Rattus norvegicus: one gene and its partners. The protein of the gene in region 1 binds, or shares a complex with, the protein of each later gene. Links are inferred from orthologs where the notes say so. Each region holds a gene or a part of one and is shown in the gene's direction. Other genes may lie near its edges. The genes, in order: Cybb, Rac2, Cyba, Cybc1 and Ncf2.

Region 1 (3,520 bases):
ACTGAGTCCCAGTCACCCCTCCTGCAGCTCCTCCCCTACTTCCTTTTCATCTGAGAAGGGGGAGGCCTCCCACTAGGTATTCCCTCACCCTGGCACATCAGTATCTGTAGGACTAGGCACATCTTTCTTGCTGAGGCCAGACAAGGCAGCCCAGTTAGGCGAGCAATTTCTTTTTAACTTAAGAGACTCATGCTGATTGATGGTCGTAAGTTTGTATTAATTCAATTATGCCCACCACTACTCTCTGGAGATGATGAAGCAGACATTACATGGGTGCTTTTCTCATTTGAGCACAAACACATGAGGGAAGAAGAGAAGCTGTGAATCTATCAAATGTATACTCTTAAAAATTGGTTGGCTGGCTCTTTGGAAACATTAGTTCAACCCCTTCATTTCACAAATAAGGGAACCAATACCAGAAAGGCTGTATGGTTTTTCCACAGTAGCACAGGCAGAACGAAGCTGACCTACTAGGCTTGCCTTACTTCTGTGGTTATTGGGACCCAGTGTCTTTACTGAATCCTAGGCCTCATCCCTTTGGTTCTCTTGAGAGTTAGAGGCTATAGGCAGAACTGATGTGGTACTTCCTTCTCCCCTCATTGTGTCTTTTCCCTGCCCTCTTCAGCCATTCACACCATTGCACATCTGTTCAACGTGGAGTGGTGTGTGAATGCCAGAGTCGGGACTTCGGACCCATATTCAGTAGCACTCTCTAACATTGGAGACAAAGAAAATGAAGAGTATCTCAATTTTGCTAGAGAAAAAATCAAGGTGAGCCTCCCTTCTCTGATTCAGTTGTTTGCCGGGCTGTTAGAACAGAGGACTTCATTTTACTGAATGAAAAAAAACCAATAATTTCTCCATAAAAACCAACAAAGAAAGTTTGCTAGTAATTTAGAATATAAATGTAAAAAATATCTCCTACCCCCCGGTTCTTATATTCAGAAAGGAGCTTATGCCATTTTTATGAACCCAGTGGCTTAGGGAGACAGTCAACTTCCCCAGTTGAATTTCAAACACATTTTCCATGTTTACAAAAACAGCTACAAAACAAAGAACTTTAATTTTGCCCCAAATTTTACATTCAAACTGACATGACAGAAGCTGGCATGACTCATCCTTTTTTTCTGTTATATCATGGATGATTTTTCTTTCCATTGCTCATTGTTTTCTCAATGAGTTATATTGAACATATTAGTTGAACAAACACTGTCATGATCTGTCCAGATTTCCTTGGGTCACTTTTACTGGCTTTGTGTTTCCTCCAGAATGTTTTCCTTTTCAATCACTAAAGCCCCCTCCTCTTCTAAGGACTGCCTTGAGACTTGAAGTTTCTCTTTGTGTAAGGATGTGATCTGAAAGCATCTGGACAATTACTGCTCCCTGAGAAGCCTTCGTCAAATAACCAATGAGTGTCGGTGTTGGCATCCAGCTCCCTTTCCTTTAGTCAGTACAAATTATGAGTACAAACTCTCAGATTGGTTTGTGTATGCCTGAGTATATGACGTTTTCTCATCTTTGTTCAATAGAATTCTCCGAGATTGGAGACAATAAAGGTGGGGGCCAGTCTCACGGGGCCTGGGGGCAGGGATATCTTCGCCCTGACCCTGTGCAACTCTGTGCATCCCAGTCTGCTCTAGAGCACCTATTCTCTGGTTCTACACATTTTTACCATGTTTTTTCTGTTACCTGAAAGTAGACATAGTGAAAGACCATCTATAAGGTCAACTTTACCCCCAAACTCTCATCTAAGCATCTACACATAGTGAAGCCAGCCTCCAGTGGAAGGTGTAGTAAGAATTCATTGGCTAACTATGTACTGTAGCCTTTCCAAGTCAAAGAGAGAGAGAGCATGAGACATTTTGAAGACACCTTTTACTAAGTCAAACTCCACTAGAATCATCTGAATGTTGTTCTTTATCTGTGACTCCCCAATAATGTAAGACAATTTAAATTTGGAAATCTCAACACTGAGAGATATAATTATAATAACCAAAGGGACTGGAAATGCCTTATATAAACAGCTTTAAAATGGATACTCTTACAGTTCTGAGCTTGTGTGTTTCTATTTTCCAGAACCCTGAAGGGGGCCTGTATGTGGCTGTGACTCGGTTGGCTGGCATCACAGGAATTGTCATCACACTGTGTCTTATATTGATCATCACATCCTCCACCAAAACCATTCGGAGGTCTTACTTTGAAGTGTTCTGGTATACACACCATCTCTTTGTGATCTTCTTCATCGGCCTTGCCATCCATGGAGCTGAGTGAGTTCTCTAACTCCATTGCCAAATACTTTGGTTTCACTTTCTAGATGTTTTGACCAAGGAAAGGCACAGGAGAGAACAGTTGAGGTCAGTCAAAAAAAAAAAAAAAGACAACCTCCCCCCAAAAAACCCCAGCAATGGTTTTTGCTTTCTTATTGTACCCATGCAATTCATAATGGGTGATTTAAAATAAGCTTGAAATATATACCTCGTGTATAAAATACACTGACTATGGTTTGTCTCAAGGCCATTATTTGTGTAGATTGCCCACTATATTCTTGCCTAAAGAGAAGAAAGGTAGTCTACTCTCTGCATGGCCATACTTTACTGAAATCATTGGTTTGGTCTTGGATGACCACCTCAATGCTTCCTACAGATAAATCATGAGTAGGTTAGGCAAAATCCCAAGGTAGAGGAATTAGTGATTAATCAGCTGAAGCAGTTTCAGCAGTAGCTGAATCACTACTGGTTTCCTACTGGGTATGAGAATCTACCTCAGGAATTAGGGAGGAATGCTAGCTAGAAAAATACATGGGCATTACCTTCAAAATTTCAAATATGATAAAAACTAATTAACTTCCACCAAACTCTATGTTCAGCACTAAGAACTTGATATTCAATGTTTCTTTTAACCATCTCATGTGTAGATGTGGAACCCAAAGGTAAAAATGGTAAAATGTGGGCCAAGCCACTCCAGGCTGGTGAGTAGCCTAGAGAACAGGTGGTTTTGAGTGGGCTGCGGTGAAAACTCTCATAAGGACACACAGTGCTTGACTTTATGCTTGGAAAAACTGCTTTAATATCAAGTTTCATTTTTTCTACTCTTTCGCACCACCTGCACATAAAAGCCAAGGCCAGGAACATTCCATAATGGGTATAGAGTTCCAGGAACACAGGGGGAGGGAAAGAGAATATGCAAAGCTCAATTCAAGTAAACTAGGGGTGACCAAGTCTTGAGAGTGAAAAGAGGAAGGATAGAAGAAAAACAACTGTGGCCAACTTCTGTGTGCATTCTTCACCTACTTCCTGATTTGCACCACTGTGAAACTCTTTCTAAGCACTGAGAGGTCTGTAGGAGTGGAGGATCTGCTGAGTCTCCTAAAGCAACCGAGTGCCTTTCCCTGGAACTTGCTCACAATTCAGCTATCTCAGAGAATCCTTCAAGGGAGAAAGCTTGTCTTCCCCTCCCCACTTTACTAATCCCACTGCTTCCAGTTTAGTCCCCACATTAACTAGAAAAATCAAGACTCTTT
Region 2 (2,937 bases), on another chromosome or scaffold:
GGGGTCCATTCCTTCCTGCATCATCGATTGCCTGTGAGCTCCTCTGATCTGGGTCTTAGACTGTGTGTGTGTGTGTGTGTGTGTGTGTGTGTGTGTGTGTGTGTGTGTGTGTGGTATGTCGGGGGGAGAGAGAGAGAGAGAAAGAAGGGGGGAGGGAGAGAGAGTGTGTGTTCTTCAGCCTGTGACATTTCTCCCTGAGGCTATTTCATCCTCTGTGGGGAACAGAAATCCCCTCCTTTCCAGCTTCTGAGAGGATAAGCCTAGGACCCCAGGTTCAGAGTGCCTCACCACTGGTCACCACAAGGATGGGGAACCCCGAGGGACAGAGGCCTTAAGCCCCTACCTAGAGCCATCTCTGGAATAAGCAGCTGGACACCAGGGAAGGACCCTGGCTTCATCTTCTCAGTGGGAATAGCGAGCCATGAGAACTTTCCAGAAACAAGAAACACCCTGCAGTGGCTGCACAGTGTCTGGCTCCCAGAGCTCCGTTCCCTCCTTGCTGTCTCCCAAGCCTTGGCTTCAGTGGCTCCCCTCCAGGGGTGACCCCTCATTGCAGTTCTGCACCTTTGGGCCTGTGGCTGCTCTGCTCTGGGCCCAGTGAGGTGGGGAGGGCCGCCAGTTCCTCAGCTGTCAGAAGCTCCTAACTCAGAAAGGAGAGCAGAAGGAGTCAGGGATGGCACCGGGCTCCCTTCCTTCCCCTTTCCTTCCCCAGGACTCTGTGTCTCCCAGCCTCTGTGTCAGGGCCCTGGGCTCAGGTTGGAGGGGGTGGGTAGTCATGCAGATGCCTCCAGGGGCCTGTCCTCGGGACTGCACAGAAGACCTCAATAATTTCTTCCCTTCACTGAGCTGCCCTGGGGCAGGCAGGTCCCACAGTCTCTGTTAGCCCTGGTTTGCCCATAAATTGGGTTTGCCCATAATTGATATATGTATTAGGGTGTCCTCAGACCTGCTCAGAGGTGTCAGCTTCATAAGGAAGGCCGTGAGGGATTTGGTTCTTGTCATGGAAGCAGGTCCTATCCACCTTCCAAACCTTTGTGTCTGTGGGGGTCTTTCACTATTCCCACTGAGTCCTATAGGAGGGAGATGAAGTACAGAGAGGCATATTGCCTCTTGGGTGATACTCCCCACTCAGATGATACTCACATTCAAGGGATACTCCCTTGGGTGATACTCCGCACTCAGGTGATAACTCCCCACTCGGGTAGACACAGCCTCTCCATGACTCAGGCCCCTGCTCTCCCGCTGTCCCTCCTCAGATTCAGTGAAGTACTTGGAATGTTCTGCACTCACCCAGCGAGGCCTGAAGACCGTCTTCGATGAGGCAATCCGAGCAGTCCTGTGCCCACAGCCCACACGGCAGCAGAAACGCCCCTGCAGCCTGCTCTAGGGGTATACAGCTCTCCACTGCTGGAAGGGTACCCTACCCTAGGGCCAGCCCTCAGGTCACTGAGTGTTAGACCAGGACAGAGGGCCATGGGTACCTAGGTAGCCTCAGTCTCCCCTCTTTGTCACTGCCTGTGAAGCTCTTCCTTTCCGGATTCAACCCAAGCAAGCCAGAACCTGTCCAGTGACTTAAACCAGGACACAGGAGTTTCCTGCCTCTCATTTAGCCTGTCCTTGTCACAAAAATCTAATGACACTGGGGAACCCCAAGAATACCCTGGGTGGGATATGCGGGGGTGCGTGGGGAGGAGAGGAAGAGAGCTCTGGGGGAGACAGCCATTGAAAGCAGCCATGGGCCTGAATGGCCCTGAGCTGGGATGTGTCTGTCCTCGACACTGACCCTTTCCTGTCTCCCTTCCAGGTGTCTTCCCAGTCTTCCCACTCCCACGGTCCTGACCCTCCAGGGCTCCCCACCAAAGCCCAGCGATATACTGGTGGGACATGCTGTCCCCTGTGTGTGGTGTTTCTTCACAGTCATCTGCAGAACTTGCCTCTCTCCTCCATGGAGGTCCCAGGGTATGGGGTGATGTTGATAGGTCACATCCTACCCGGAAGATTCCTGTGTTCCCAGGGACCAGAGGGGAGCCCCAAGACTCAGCCATCCATCCTCATGTCATACAGCATCATGCACCCACCTGCTCCAGGCCTTTCTGACGCCTCTCTCGAAGCTTCCGGTCTCTGTGGCCTGTCACCACGGTGTTCGCCTTGTTGGAACACCTCCTTCCCTGAACCAAAGGGAGAGATGTGGAAGTCTGCTCCTCTGTCTTCCTTTGTCAGAAAAACACAGAACCAATCTATTTTGGTAAATCTCTGATCTGCCCAGCCAAGTGAGGGTCTGAGCTCAGCTGACCCCTACAGTCTCTCAAGGCTTCCTATGCTACTCGAAGGGTGGGGCTGCACCCTCTTGGCACTGCCCACCCCACCTGCCATAGCAAATGGAAAACACAAGTCTCTTGCTTATGCAGAAAATAAATGTGTTGATTCTCGGTGGACGTGCTATGAGTTCAGGCGCAGCTTGATCAAGGTGGGGCAGAGGGTTCAGACCATACCACGGACCTTGCCTTCCCGTCCATTTTGGTTCTGCCTGCTAGGCTCACTTTCTGGCTGTTGATTCTTGGGACTTGATCCTCTGAGGTCAAGTTCAGGTGAAGTCTGCCCTGGGCAAGTTCTAAGGAAGGGCTACTCTGATTGGACCAGCTTGTCTTAGGCCCACCCTCAATCACACCGGTGTGTTTGTGTGTGTGTGTGTGTGTGTGTGTGTGTGTGTGTGTGTGATTGAGAGAGAGAGAGAGAGAGAGAGAGAGAGAGAGAGAGACACTGTGCTGTGACTGACCATGAGTTGGGTTAGAGCCATTAGTAGAGGTGACACCAGGAAGCGTGGATATAGGGTGAGTGAGTGAGTGAGTGTGGGTAAATTCTTGAGGGGGTCTAATAGGGATCTCTAACCTCGACAGTCAGAGGTCATGGTAAGTGTCCTTTCTACCACTACCGCCG
Region 3 (2,806 bases), on another chromosome or scaffold:
GCTGTGTATATATATACATGTGTATATATATATATATGTTGTGTATATGTATATATATATACACACACACACATATATTTAGTCTGAGTAAAACTTACTGCAAACTTCTAGAATAGAAAGAAAAAATTTTTTTTAATTTTTGCTTATTGTTTGAAATAGTATTGACCTGGAATCTGTGATTCTTCTAGCTTAGCCTCAGGGGTGTGGAGGTTGCAGACATGACCACACCTAGCTAAGAAAACAATACATTGGAAGAGCAGGCGGTTCTCTTAAACACTGAGCCATCTCTCCAGCTCTTTCGTAACCGACATCTTCAGATGCTCCTTACGCCAGGTGCATCACGGTCTTCCGAAGCCTACAACAGACTCCTAGCTTTTATTTATCCGTTTGTTTTGAGACAGGGTTTCAGGTTGGTCTCAGGTTCACTCTGTAGCAGAAGATGACTTTGAATTCCTGGTCCTCTCACAGCCATCTCCCAAGTACTAGGATTTCAGGGACTCGTGTATCCCAGCCTGTCCTGGCGCGTACTATGTAAGGGAGGCTGGCCTTGAACTCATGTCTTCCTGCCTCCACCTTCCAAGTGTTGAGGTTACCTACCAGTCCACCATGTCCAGTTTATGCAGTCCTGGGGGTTGCATTGAGAGCTTCGTGCACGCTAGGTAAGCACCCCACCAACCTAGCCACTTCTCTAGCCTTCACTGGTTCGTTTGAGCCACAATCACTTGTAGCCCAGGCTGTTCTCAAACTCATGGGGTTAGCCTTGAACTCTGACCATCTTGCCTCTACCTCCCCAGTACTCCGATTATAGTTGTTCACCACGGTGCTAAGATAGTAAGCCTATGGAGGTCAAAGGGCAACTTACGGAGTCGTTCTCTCCTGATGGATCCCGTCGGGATGAACTCGGGTCTTCGGGCTTGGTGGTGGCAAGTGCCTTTCCTCGCTCCCTCATCTTGCCAATTCCACAAAATACCTTCCATGCACTCTTACGATTGGTCAAGGAAAGTGTAAAGGCACAATCACATTACTTTACCCATCGCCCTAGATCAGAAGCCCTCAAAATCCCAAAGACGGGAGAAGCACATCAGTAAATCGTGGTTGATTTCATATACTAGAACACGAGATCGATTTTTAAAAGTTAGTTAAGAAGCAGGGTGTGGTGGTCCCTGCCTGCAACCCAAGCACACGGGGGAGGGAGACCAGGAGTTCCAGACCATCCGGTATCGACAGCAAAACCAGCATGAGCCACTGGTGATTTACAGAGCGCATCACTTCAACGTCATCTGAGCCAAAGACACAGATACAAGAAAGAACTTCCTGAAATGAGGGAAGTTGTGAGTTGTGTGGTCCCATGGGGGAACCAAGCCTAACTCGTGTGTATTCTACTGTAAGGAAGTCTTGGATGGGCTGGCCGAGACATTAGTGGGGGTGAGGGTAGCTCGATACTGCAGGAATGTGCCCCTCCCCCTCCCCTCCCCCCGTCCCCCTCCCCACCGCCCCCAAACAGGGTTTCTCTGTTGTTCTGTCTATCCTAGAAGTTCCTCTGTAGACCAGGCTGGCCTCCAACTCACAGAGACCTGCCTGCCTCTGCCTCCTGAGTGCTGGGACTGAAGGTGTGTGCCACCAGCGCCCAGCTATTACCCACCTCCCACCCCCTACCCCCGACGGGGATGGAACTCAGTATGTACTACGTACAGAAGGACCAGGAAGTAACAGCGTAGCTGAGAAGAGTTGACATTCCAACCCGAGTGTAGCACCAACAGCTAATGGAGTCCCGCTTGCTGTGGCCACCTCCCCGAGTGTCCTCTCTGTCCCTGAACCCCATGCCGTACAGTGCCCTGCTCCAGTAGGCAGAGAGTTGGAGGTGGTCCCAAGTCCAGGGGCAAGGTCAAGCTGGCTCACTCCTGCAGCAGGTGGTGAGTCCTAACCACCACCCTCCATCTTTAGTCCTCATCACAGGGGGCATCGTGGCTACTGCGGGACGCTTCACGCAGTGGTACTTTGGTGCTTACTCTATGTATCCTTCTACTGGGGGCCAGGAGGGTGAGGTGATGAGAGCGCTTCCAGGACTAGTGTGTGAATTTACAAGAGCACTACACATAAGCTGTTCCGCCACAGCCTCCGGAAGCAGGGCCAGCCCTGTCTGCAGTTTTAGAAGCCATGGCCCAGGGCTGGACAGCCACTTCCAAAGGTCACAGAGGGTGGGGTTTGGGCAAACATGGAGCTGAGGCCCAAGATCCCAAGGTTTGGACTGGAGTACATCGCCTCCGCCCCACCTTGCTGGACAGTGCCTGAGAACTGAACGGGGTGGAGGGTAGGTATGGGGCAGGAGCTGTGCCTCGACTTACCTGTAGGCAGTAGTACACCCTGGCCTAGGCCTAGCGTGGCTTTCCTTAACCTCACCTCAGTGTTGCAGGAGTGCTCATCTGTCTGCTGGAGTACCCCCGGGGAAAGAGGAAAAAGGGCTCCACCATGGAGCGGTGGTAAGTCACTCCTACCTGGGGACCTGCCCCCACAGAGCCAACTGACTTGTCCAGAGCTTCCAGCCCAAGGCCTCATGTGCCCAGGAGGAAAAGGACCTAGAACCCTGGAAGGGGGCGGATAAGGAGTGACCAGGGATTCTGAGTGCGGTTGGTGCTGACCCTCTGATCTTTTGTCTTCCCGCTGTCTAGTGGACAGAAGTACCTGACCGCTGTGGTGAAGCTGTTCGGGCCCCTCACCAGAAATTACTACGTCCGGGCTGTCCTCCACTTACTGTGAGTCTCTCTGCCCATCCCCCGGGGAACAGGAGACTAGAAAAACACCTCAT
Region 4 (2,180 bases), on another chromosome or scaffold:
TAGCTCCTAGGCTTTGAGGTTCAGGGGTTGAGGGCTTGGTCCTCACTATACACCTATAATAGCTGACAGAAATCTGAACCTGTTAAGTCAGGTGGTACCTTTTGGGGAAGCCCCCTTCCCTTAGTCTTGAACTTGTCAGAATTCATGAAGCTTCCTGACTGGGGCTTCTGCATTTGCTTAATGGCCTCATTACCATCCTTTCCTTTTATTCTTTTATTTACCCAGTACTGAGGATTGAACCTGGGGCCTCATACCTGCTGGGCAAGTGCTCTACCACTGGGCTAGATTCCCCAGCCTGGTCCTGTTCTCACTCAAAGAGAAAAGGACATCCACTGTATCTGCTTTCTTTCGTGTGCCCCTTACTCACAGGGGAGTACCAGATGTCAGGCACAGAAGTAGGCTCTGGAAGAGTCCTGGAGGCTTTGGGTTTCTACTGGGAAAGCTTTGTATTTGTACCAGTGTGGTGGGGCTGTACCTCAGCATCAGCTTGGCTCTCTACCTAGAGTTCTGTGTGTGGTTAGCATGCATTCGTTTGCAGGAGGCCATTTTCAACAAGAGCACTGGGAAGGTCATCTTAAAAACATTCAGCCTCTACAAGAAGCTGCTGACTCTTCTCAGAGCGGGCCATGATCAAGGTAAGATGTGGGAACCTACAGGTTGGTGAAGGTTTGGTGAGGCCTGGATGGCTTGGATCCAAGTTCAACTGCTCGAGGAATGAGGGTCCCGCGGACATATCCTGGCTTGCCGGGACAGATCCAGACAGGTGTTTTGCCTACTTCAGAACTCAGCCTGTCAGGAAGGATGGACACTCCTTGGCAGCTCTCCTAGGTTGGGCGAGGGTGACAGGAGAAGAGTCTTCAGGAACCACTTGGCCTTTCTTGATTATCCTGTACCTGATTGTCAGCTCTGCCAGCCCTGCAGTGAGAAAATGGTTAAAGGAACCCCGCAACCCTTGAGCTTATGGGCTTGGAAGGTAGCCTAGTTATGAAGTAGCAGGTTCTCATAGGTCTCCCCCATTATGTATCCAGCTCAGCTACTGCTCATTAAAAATATGCAAGTAAACTCTATGTGCTTTTAACATGAAAAGTTAGACCCCAAAGCATCCAGGCCTCTTAACTCATATCGAGCGCTGGCAGTGTATAGCTGAATGTGGCGCAGATGAAGACCAGAGCTGGTTTGTGGGTGTGAGTTAGTGCACTGTTTGAACTTCCCCGTAGGCTGCTTGTTGGAAGCCCTTGCACATTTGAGAGCCAGTACCCACGGGCTCCAAGCCACATGGTCATCCCCCTTGTCACTGTGACAGTGAGATGAGATAGGTTTCCCAGGGGCTCTTGGGAAAGCAGTATCAGCCATGTATTAGTTAAGCGATGGTTTCTCTGTGCACAGAACTAACTAGCGGGGCTACCCCACTGGAACCAGACAGGTTTCATGAAGATAGCAACTTGAGCTTAGTGATCCCTGTTGTGGGACTGCTCAGGAAAGCCAGTGTCTGCCTGAAACTGCAGCTGTAATGGGTCTCCTGAGTATCCTTATCCAGAAGTTAGTCTGGGTCCACAGTCCTGAAGGTGAACTAGTAAATGCTTTTGTCACTAATGCTACTCCCACTGTTCAGCAGGCTGTGCTGTGCGTGGCATAGGTTGAGAGCATTGGATAAGAGCATAGGGAGACTGCTCATCAGCAAACCCTTCTGTCCCCAGTGGTGGTCCTGTTGAAAGACATCCAGGATGTGAATGTGGAGGAGGAAAAGGTCCGTTACTTTGGGAAGGGCTACATGGTGGTGCTCCGGTTTGCAACAGGCTTCTCCCACCCCCTTACTCAGAGTGCAGTCATGGGCCGACGCAGGTAAGATTGGCATAAAGCAAGACTGGGCTATCCCTTAGTGTTTCTCAGTGTTGTAGACAGGGTGTGGGGCTCTGATCAGGATGTATGTGCTTAGGAGCAGCTTTGCTGCAGCTGTCTGTAGAGGAGGCATCAGAACAGGGTTGGGGCTTCAGTGAGAGTAGGACTGAGGCCAGAGATACTGGGCTCATTTGAGACCACGGGGGGGGGGGGGTGATGTAGGTGTACTGCAGGGGATGAGATAGCGTGGGTCTTTTGTGGTGTGTTGTGGAACTGCACCCTTTGCCAAGGTGACCTGCTTTCTTGATGATTGCCTAGTGACGTGGAAGCCATTGCCAAAC
Region 5 (4,229 bases), on another chromosome or scaffold:
CCACCATGTGGTTGCTGGGAATTGAACTCATGACCTCTGGAAGAGCAGTCGGGTGCTCTTAACCGCTGAGCCATCTCTCCAGCCCTTGTCTCAGCTTCTTAAATGGCCAGAGTGGCAGGCCTCTGTCACCAGGCCAGACTCTGACTCCTTCCATCATTCCTTAAGAGCCAGTGCCAAGGGTCTGAGAATAAAGGGCAGTGTCCCAAATTTCAAGGGACCTAAGAACTAAGCAGGTAGAGAGGAAACACGGTCGTTATTTAGGAGGAGGTAAGACAAAGGGACAATACTCCCTCGGTAATCTAGAGTGTGGAGCGGGCTGTCGCACAGGTATGGACACAGGAAGGAGACTGGATGGGTGAGCCTGGAAGCTTGAGGAGATGACCAGGCAAAGAAGCGAGATAGGAAGGGCTGCCAGAGACAGGGGCGAGGCTATGCAACGGCGCCTTCTTCTTCTTAGCCCTCCTGCCTTTACGAACCCTGTGCTGAGTTCTTTCAGGTGCCTCAAGACAAGACTTAGAAACGTTCATGCATCTGACCCTCATGAACTGTGTTTCACCCACCAAGGAGTCCGGACCTCAGCGGATTTCATCATTTAGACACCCTACCTCGATTTTCCTCAGAAAAGTTTGGTTGTTGTTGTTTGTTTGTTTGTTGGTTTGTTTTTAAATTAACTTAGACGTTAGCAGGGCAGTAAGTAAAGGAATCTGAAATCTGTATTTACAGAAACTAGTGAACTCATTAGTCATACGAGGAGCCGTCTCTTCAGCTTCTCACAGACAGACGGAGAGATGATAACGGCTGTCACGTCTGCCTCCCAGTCTGGGTATTTCCTTAAAGTTATCTCAGACCCTAATGGACACTCAAGATGCCCCACCCTGTCTCAGGAATGTGTAGCATGGATCCTCACCCCCCCCCTCCAGATTTAAAAACAAAACAGCTAGTCTATTGGTTGTGCATCTATAACTCCAGAATGGGAATTGGGAATTCAGACGAGCCTGGGTTACATCCGCAGACCACAAACAAGCGTGTCGACAGCCTGAGACCCAGACCTGAGAGAGAGGACCAGAGAGCAAGGAAGTCTTCCAAGGACGAAAAGAGTCAAGTACAGGGGCATGTCCAGACCTGCTGAGGTCCCCCTGACCTGAAGCTGCCACAGAGGGTGTGGGAGGCAGAGACAAGTAGGACGTAGCAAAAACACTTAGAGGAACTGACTGGCTCATGGCAGGCAGCCTCCGATGTACTTCCTCTTTCCTAGCCAGCCTCCTCCAGCCTTCTCTCTTTCCTTTTCTCTCTCATGCTAGCTTATGCGTCAGTTCCTGAACGGTGGGGAAACTTCCTGACGCTATGAAGCCGCCCAAAGGGAGGCTAGACCCCATTCAGTGCACTAGGCTGGAACGCTGAAGCCCGGGGTGCCAGTAGCTCTAAGGAGAGACACCTTGAACTACCATCCTGTCTTCTAGTAAGCACCTAACCATGTCCCTAGCTGAGGCCATCAGGCTCTGGAATGAGGGGGTGCAGGCAGCCGACAAGAAGGACTGGAAGGGTGCCTTGGAGGCCTTCAGCGAGGTGCAGGACCCCCACTCGAGGATTTGCTTCAACATAGGCTGCATGTACACCATCCTGGACAACCTGCAGGAGGCTGAGCAGGTGAGTCGAGGGGCCCGTAATTATAGCCTTTCTGACCTCTGGAAACCTCACCTTCCAAAGCCTTAAAGGAACAAAAGCCTTCTAGAACTACCCCAGAGGCCCCAACTAACTGCCTCTGGCTGAGCAGGCAGTTTTAAGAGCGCCCAGGGCAGGATTTTTCCGAGCCACCCAAGGGTGGGGCTCTGCTCTACAAGATCTCTACATTATCCAAGATCATCTTTTAACCCTTTGTGAAGACTTCTTAAGCTGTGCTCTCTTTGACAGCGCCTCCTGGGTAAGCTTTCTCTGTCTTACCCTGGCATCCAGTTTTAAAATGCCTCTATGGCTTCTAGGGACTTACCATCCTATTAGTTTGGCCTGCTCAAAGAACAATTCTGATCAACAAGGCAGGTTACTTCTGTAAGGATTCTGAGGCTAGCTGAGGAAACTCACACTGTGATTAAGTCATGAGGTTCACCAAGGGTGTGGGGTAGGTATTTCTATGTCTTTTGAAGTTTTTAAAATACATTTTCTCTGGTTTGGCGTTGAACATGTCCAATTCTGTTTATTTTATTTTGATTTTTTTTCTTTTCTTTTTTTTTCGGAGCTGGGGACCGAACCCAGGGCCTTGCGCTTGCTAGGCAAGCGCTCTACCACTGAGCTAAATCCCCAACCCCCCCCACCCCCTTTTTTTTTATGACAGGGTTTCTCTGAGGAGCCCTGGTTATCCTAGGACACAATCTATAGATCAGGTTGGCTTTGAACTCACAAAATCACAGAGATCTGCCTGCCTCTGCCTCCGAAGTGCTGGTATCAAAGATGTTCAACATGCCCACCAGGCCTCTTGATTGATTGATTGATTGATTGATTGATTGATTGATTGATTGATTGTGTGTGTGTGTGTGTGTGTGTGTGTGTGTATGCATGAGAGAGAGAGAGGTGGCTACATATGTCACAGCACACATGTGTCAATCAAAGGACAGCTTTGTGGAGTTCCGTCTATTTTTACCGGGGTTCCAGTGATCAACCCCAAACCTCCAGGATTGCACAGCAAGTGCCAGGAGCTGTCCACCCTGTTTTGTTTTTGTTTTTGTTTTTGTTTCTTGTTGCTGCTGTTTTGTCTTTTAGGTAGAGTCTCTTATTGGCCCAGAACTTGCCCATTAGGCTTGGCTGGTTAGAGAGCCTGTCTCTGTCCTCCCCACCCCCACCTGTCCCCCGCCTTAGATTAGAAAGGATGTGACCCCACACCTGCTTGTTTTTTTCCCACCTGGACTCTGTAGGCTGTCAAGCTTCCGAGGCCAGCATTTTACCCACTGACCCATTTACCCAGCCTCTGCCCCCTCCAAAGAACCAGTTCGCACTGGTCATCCTTTTGCCAGCAGGGGAACAAACACTGCCCACACCCTGACAGGAGGAGAGAAAGTAACTTGATATGCTTAGACTCTACGGTCTGCAAGCATATGGCAGGGAGTATGGCCCATCCAGCCTCTGCCTGGAGGGAGGACTGCCTCCTCCACCTCCTCCCCTCAGGATGGGGCTGTATCCTCAGAGCTGGGGGACAAAAGGAGGCAGCTCTCCAGGACCAGGCTCTGACATAGGCCCTGCGTGCTCACACCCTGGCCTGGACCTGGCACTCTTGGCCAAGCTGTGCCACCTCACACCCTCAGATCACTGGCTTCTACCCTTACTGGTCAAGATCTTTCTTTCTATTTTTCTGTTGCCAGACCTCTTATCCCCTCTGCCCTTGTTTTCCTGTTTAATCCAATATAAATAATATTATATATATGTATTCTTATTTGTTTTATTATTTTAGTGCTATAAATGGTTACACAATACATCTATATCAAACAAAAACAATATACATTGTAACTATATCACTATTATTATTATTATTATTTTAATGCGAGTGGGTGTTTTGAGACCATGTGTGTACCTGATTCTCAAGGGGGCAGAAGAGGCTATCAGAACCTCTAGAACTAGACTGCAGATAGTTGCAAGCCACTACGTGGGTGCTGGGAATTTTATACTCTTCCTCTGGAGGAGCAGCAAGCACTCTTATCTGCTGGGCCATCTCTCTGTCCCCATCACTTATTTTACAGAGGAAAGCAGGGAGGTTCAGGAAGATTAGGTAACTCACCACAGGCTATGCAAAGGGGAAATAACACCCCAGGGCATTTCGACCCAAAATGTCTATACCCCAAGCCAATTTTGTCACCTTGCATTGCTGAATCATTATGACACACATCTTGCCTCTTGCTGCCAATGCTTACACTTCCTCTCTGCCTGGCTCTGTGGCCATGTAACCCTTCCCCCTGCAGGCCTTCACCAAAAGCATCAACAGAGACAAGCACTTGGCAGTGGCTTACTTCCAGCGAGGAATGCTCTACTACAGCATGGAGAAGTAAGTGGTGTCGGAGTGTGACAGCGGCCTTTGGGTCTTTGTTCTGGTAGACTTGGTATTCAATAAGTACCGTCCAGCTTCTGTGGGTAGGAAGGCTGCCTTGCTCTTTCTGGGCAGTTATGCAAGAAATATCATGCGAGAGGCTTTTCTGGGGGGGGGGGTTAGGGGGAGGCAAGTCTGACCTCATTGTAAGTCATCAGGG

Evidence for each region.
Region 2: Cybb (region 1) and Rac2 share a complex: the UniProt entries of both Homo sapiens proteins name them as parts of the phagocyte NADPH oxidase complex. The link is inferred for Rattus norvegicus from reciprocal best matches to the Homo sapiens genes CYBB and RAC2.
Region 3: the proteins of Cybb (region 1) and Cyba are in contact, whole or in part, in a cryo-EM structure (PDB 8X2L), measured with the Homo sapiens proteins. The link is inferred for Rattus norvegicus from reciprocal best matches to the Homo sapiens genes CYBB and CYBA. Residues at the interface, in NP_000388.2 of Homo sapiens: Thr116, Ile117, Leu120, Phe121, Val123, Glu124, Asn128, Asn133, Lys161, Asn162, Pro163, Gly166, Leu167, Ala170, Val180, Thr183, Leu184, Ile187, Leu188, Thr191, Ser192, Thr194, Lys195, Thr196, Ile197, Arg199, Ser200, Tyr201, Glu203, Val204; in NP_000092.2 of Homo sapiens: Gln3, Ile4, Glu5, Trp6, Met8, Trp9, Glu12, Gln13, Ala16, Ile20, Thr23, Val27, Gly31, Phe33, Thr34, Gln35, Arg56, Arg59, Met65, Gly102, Phe103, Leu104, Leu105, Ala106, Ile108, Leu109, Ala112, Cys113, Ile116.
Region 4: the proteins of Cybb (region 1) and Cybc1 are in contact, whole or in part, in a cryo-EM structure (PDB 8KEI), measured with the Homo sapiens proteins. The link is inferred for Rattus norvegicus from reciprocal best matches to the Homo sapiens genes CYBB and CYBC1. Residues at the interface, in NP_000388.2 of Homo sapiens: Trp28, Asn74, Leu75, Leu76, Ser77, Phe78, Leu79, Arg80, Gly81, Ser82, Ser83, Ala84, Cys85, Cys86, Trp206, His210, Phe212, Pro266, Met268, Trp270, Lys271, Ile273, Tyr280, Tyr324, Phe326, Lys328, Leu335, Glu336, Trp337, His338; in NP_001028218.1 of Homo sapiens: Arg22, Leu26, Ala37, Ser41, Gly42, Asp43, Trp47, Phe50, Tyr51, Phe57, Gln61, Asn62, Glu64, Lys77, His97, Asp98, Gln99, Val100, Val101, Val102, Leu103, Arg108, Ser111, Glu115, Val117, Arg118, Tyr119, Phe120, Arg129, Ala131.
Region 5: Cybb (region 1) and Ncf2 share a complex: the UniProt entries of both Homo sapiens proteins name them as parts of the phagocyte NADPH oxidase complex. The link is inferred for Rattus norvegicus from reciprocal best matches to the Homo sapiens genes CYBB and NCF2.

The regions. Positions count from the first base shown.
Region 1 is NC_086039.1:16,048,053-16,051,572, reverse strand, and holds part of Cybb (cytochrome b-245 beta chain), read left to right. Parts: intron 1-625; coding exon 626-771; intron 772-2,076; coding exon 2,077-2,267; intron 2,268-3,520. UniProt on the Homo sapiens protein: Catalytic subunit of the phagocyte NADPH oxidase complex that mediates the transfer of electrons from cytosolic NADPH to O2 to produce the superoxide anion (O2(-)).
Region 2 is NC_086025.1:111,996,236-111,999,172, reverse strand, and holds the end of Rac2 (ras-related C3 botulinum toxin substrate 2), read left to right. Parts: exon of another isoform or gene 1-204; intron 205-1,256; coding exon 1,257-1,387; 3' UTR 1,388-1,389; exon of another isoform or gene 1,390-1,415; intron 1,416-1,804; 3' UTR 1,805-2,429; downstream 2,430-2,937. UniProt on the Homo sapiens protein: Plasma membrane-associated small GTPase which cycles between an active GTP-bound and inactive GDP-bound state.
Region 3 is NC_086037.1:67,398,417-67,401,222, reverse strand, and holds part of Cyba (cytochrome b-245 light chain), read left to right. Parts: intron 1-1,944; coding exon 1,945-2,014; intron 2,015-2,405; coding exon 2,406-2,480; intron 2,481-2,669; coding exon 2,670-2,753; intron 2,754-2,806. UniProt on the Homo sapiens protein: Subunit of NADPH oxidase complexes that is required for the NADPH oxidase activity that generates, in various cell types, superoxide from molecular oxygen utilizing NADPH as an electron donor.
Region 4 is NC_086028.1:106,998,672-107,000,851, reverse strand, and holds part of Cybc1 (cytochrome b-245 chaperone 1), read left to right. Parts: exon of another isoform or gene 1-538; coding exon 539-635; exon of another isoform or gene 636-1,697; coding exon 1,698-1,842; exon of another isoform or gene 1,843-2,157; coding exon 2,158-2,180. UniProt on the Homo sapiens protein: Functions as a chaperone necessary for a stable expression of the CYBA and CYBB subunits of the cytochrome b-245 heterodimer. Controls the phagocyte respiratory burst and is essential for innate immunity.
Region 5 is NC_086031.1:67,504,065-67,508,293, forward strand, and holds the start of Ncf2 (neutrophil cytosol factor 2), read left to right. Parts: upstream 1-1,427; 5' UTR 1,428-1,473; coding exon 1,474-1,647; intron 1,648-3,944; coding exon 3,945-4,027; intron 4,028-4,229. UniProt on the Homo sapiens protein: Subunit of the phagocyte NADPH oxidase complex that mediates the transfer of electrons from cytosolic NADPH to O2 to produce the superoxide anion (O2(-)).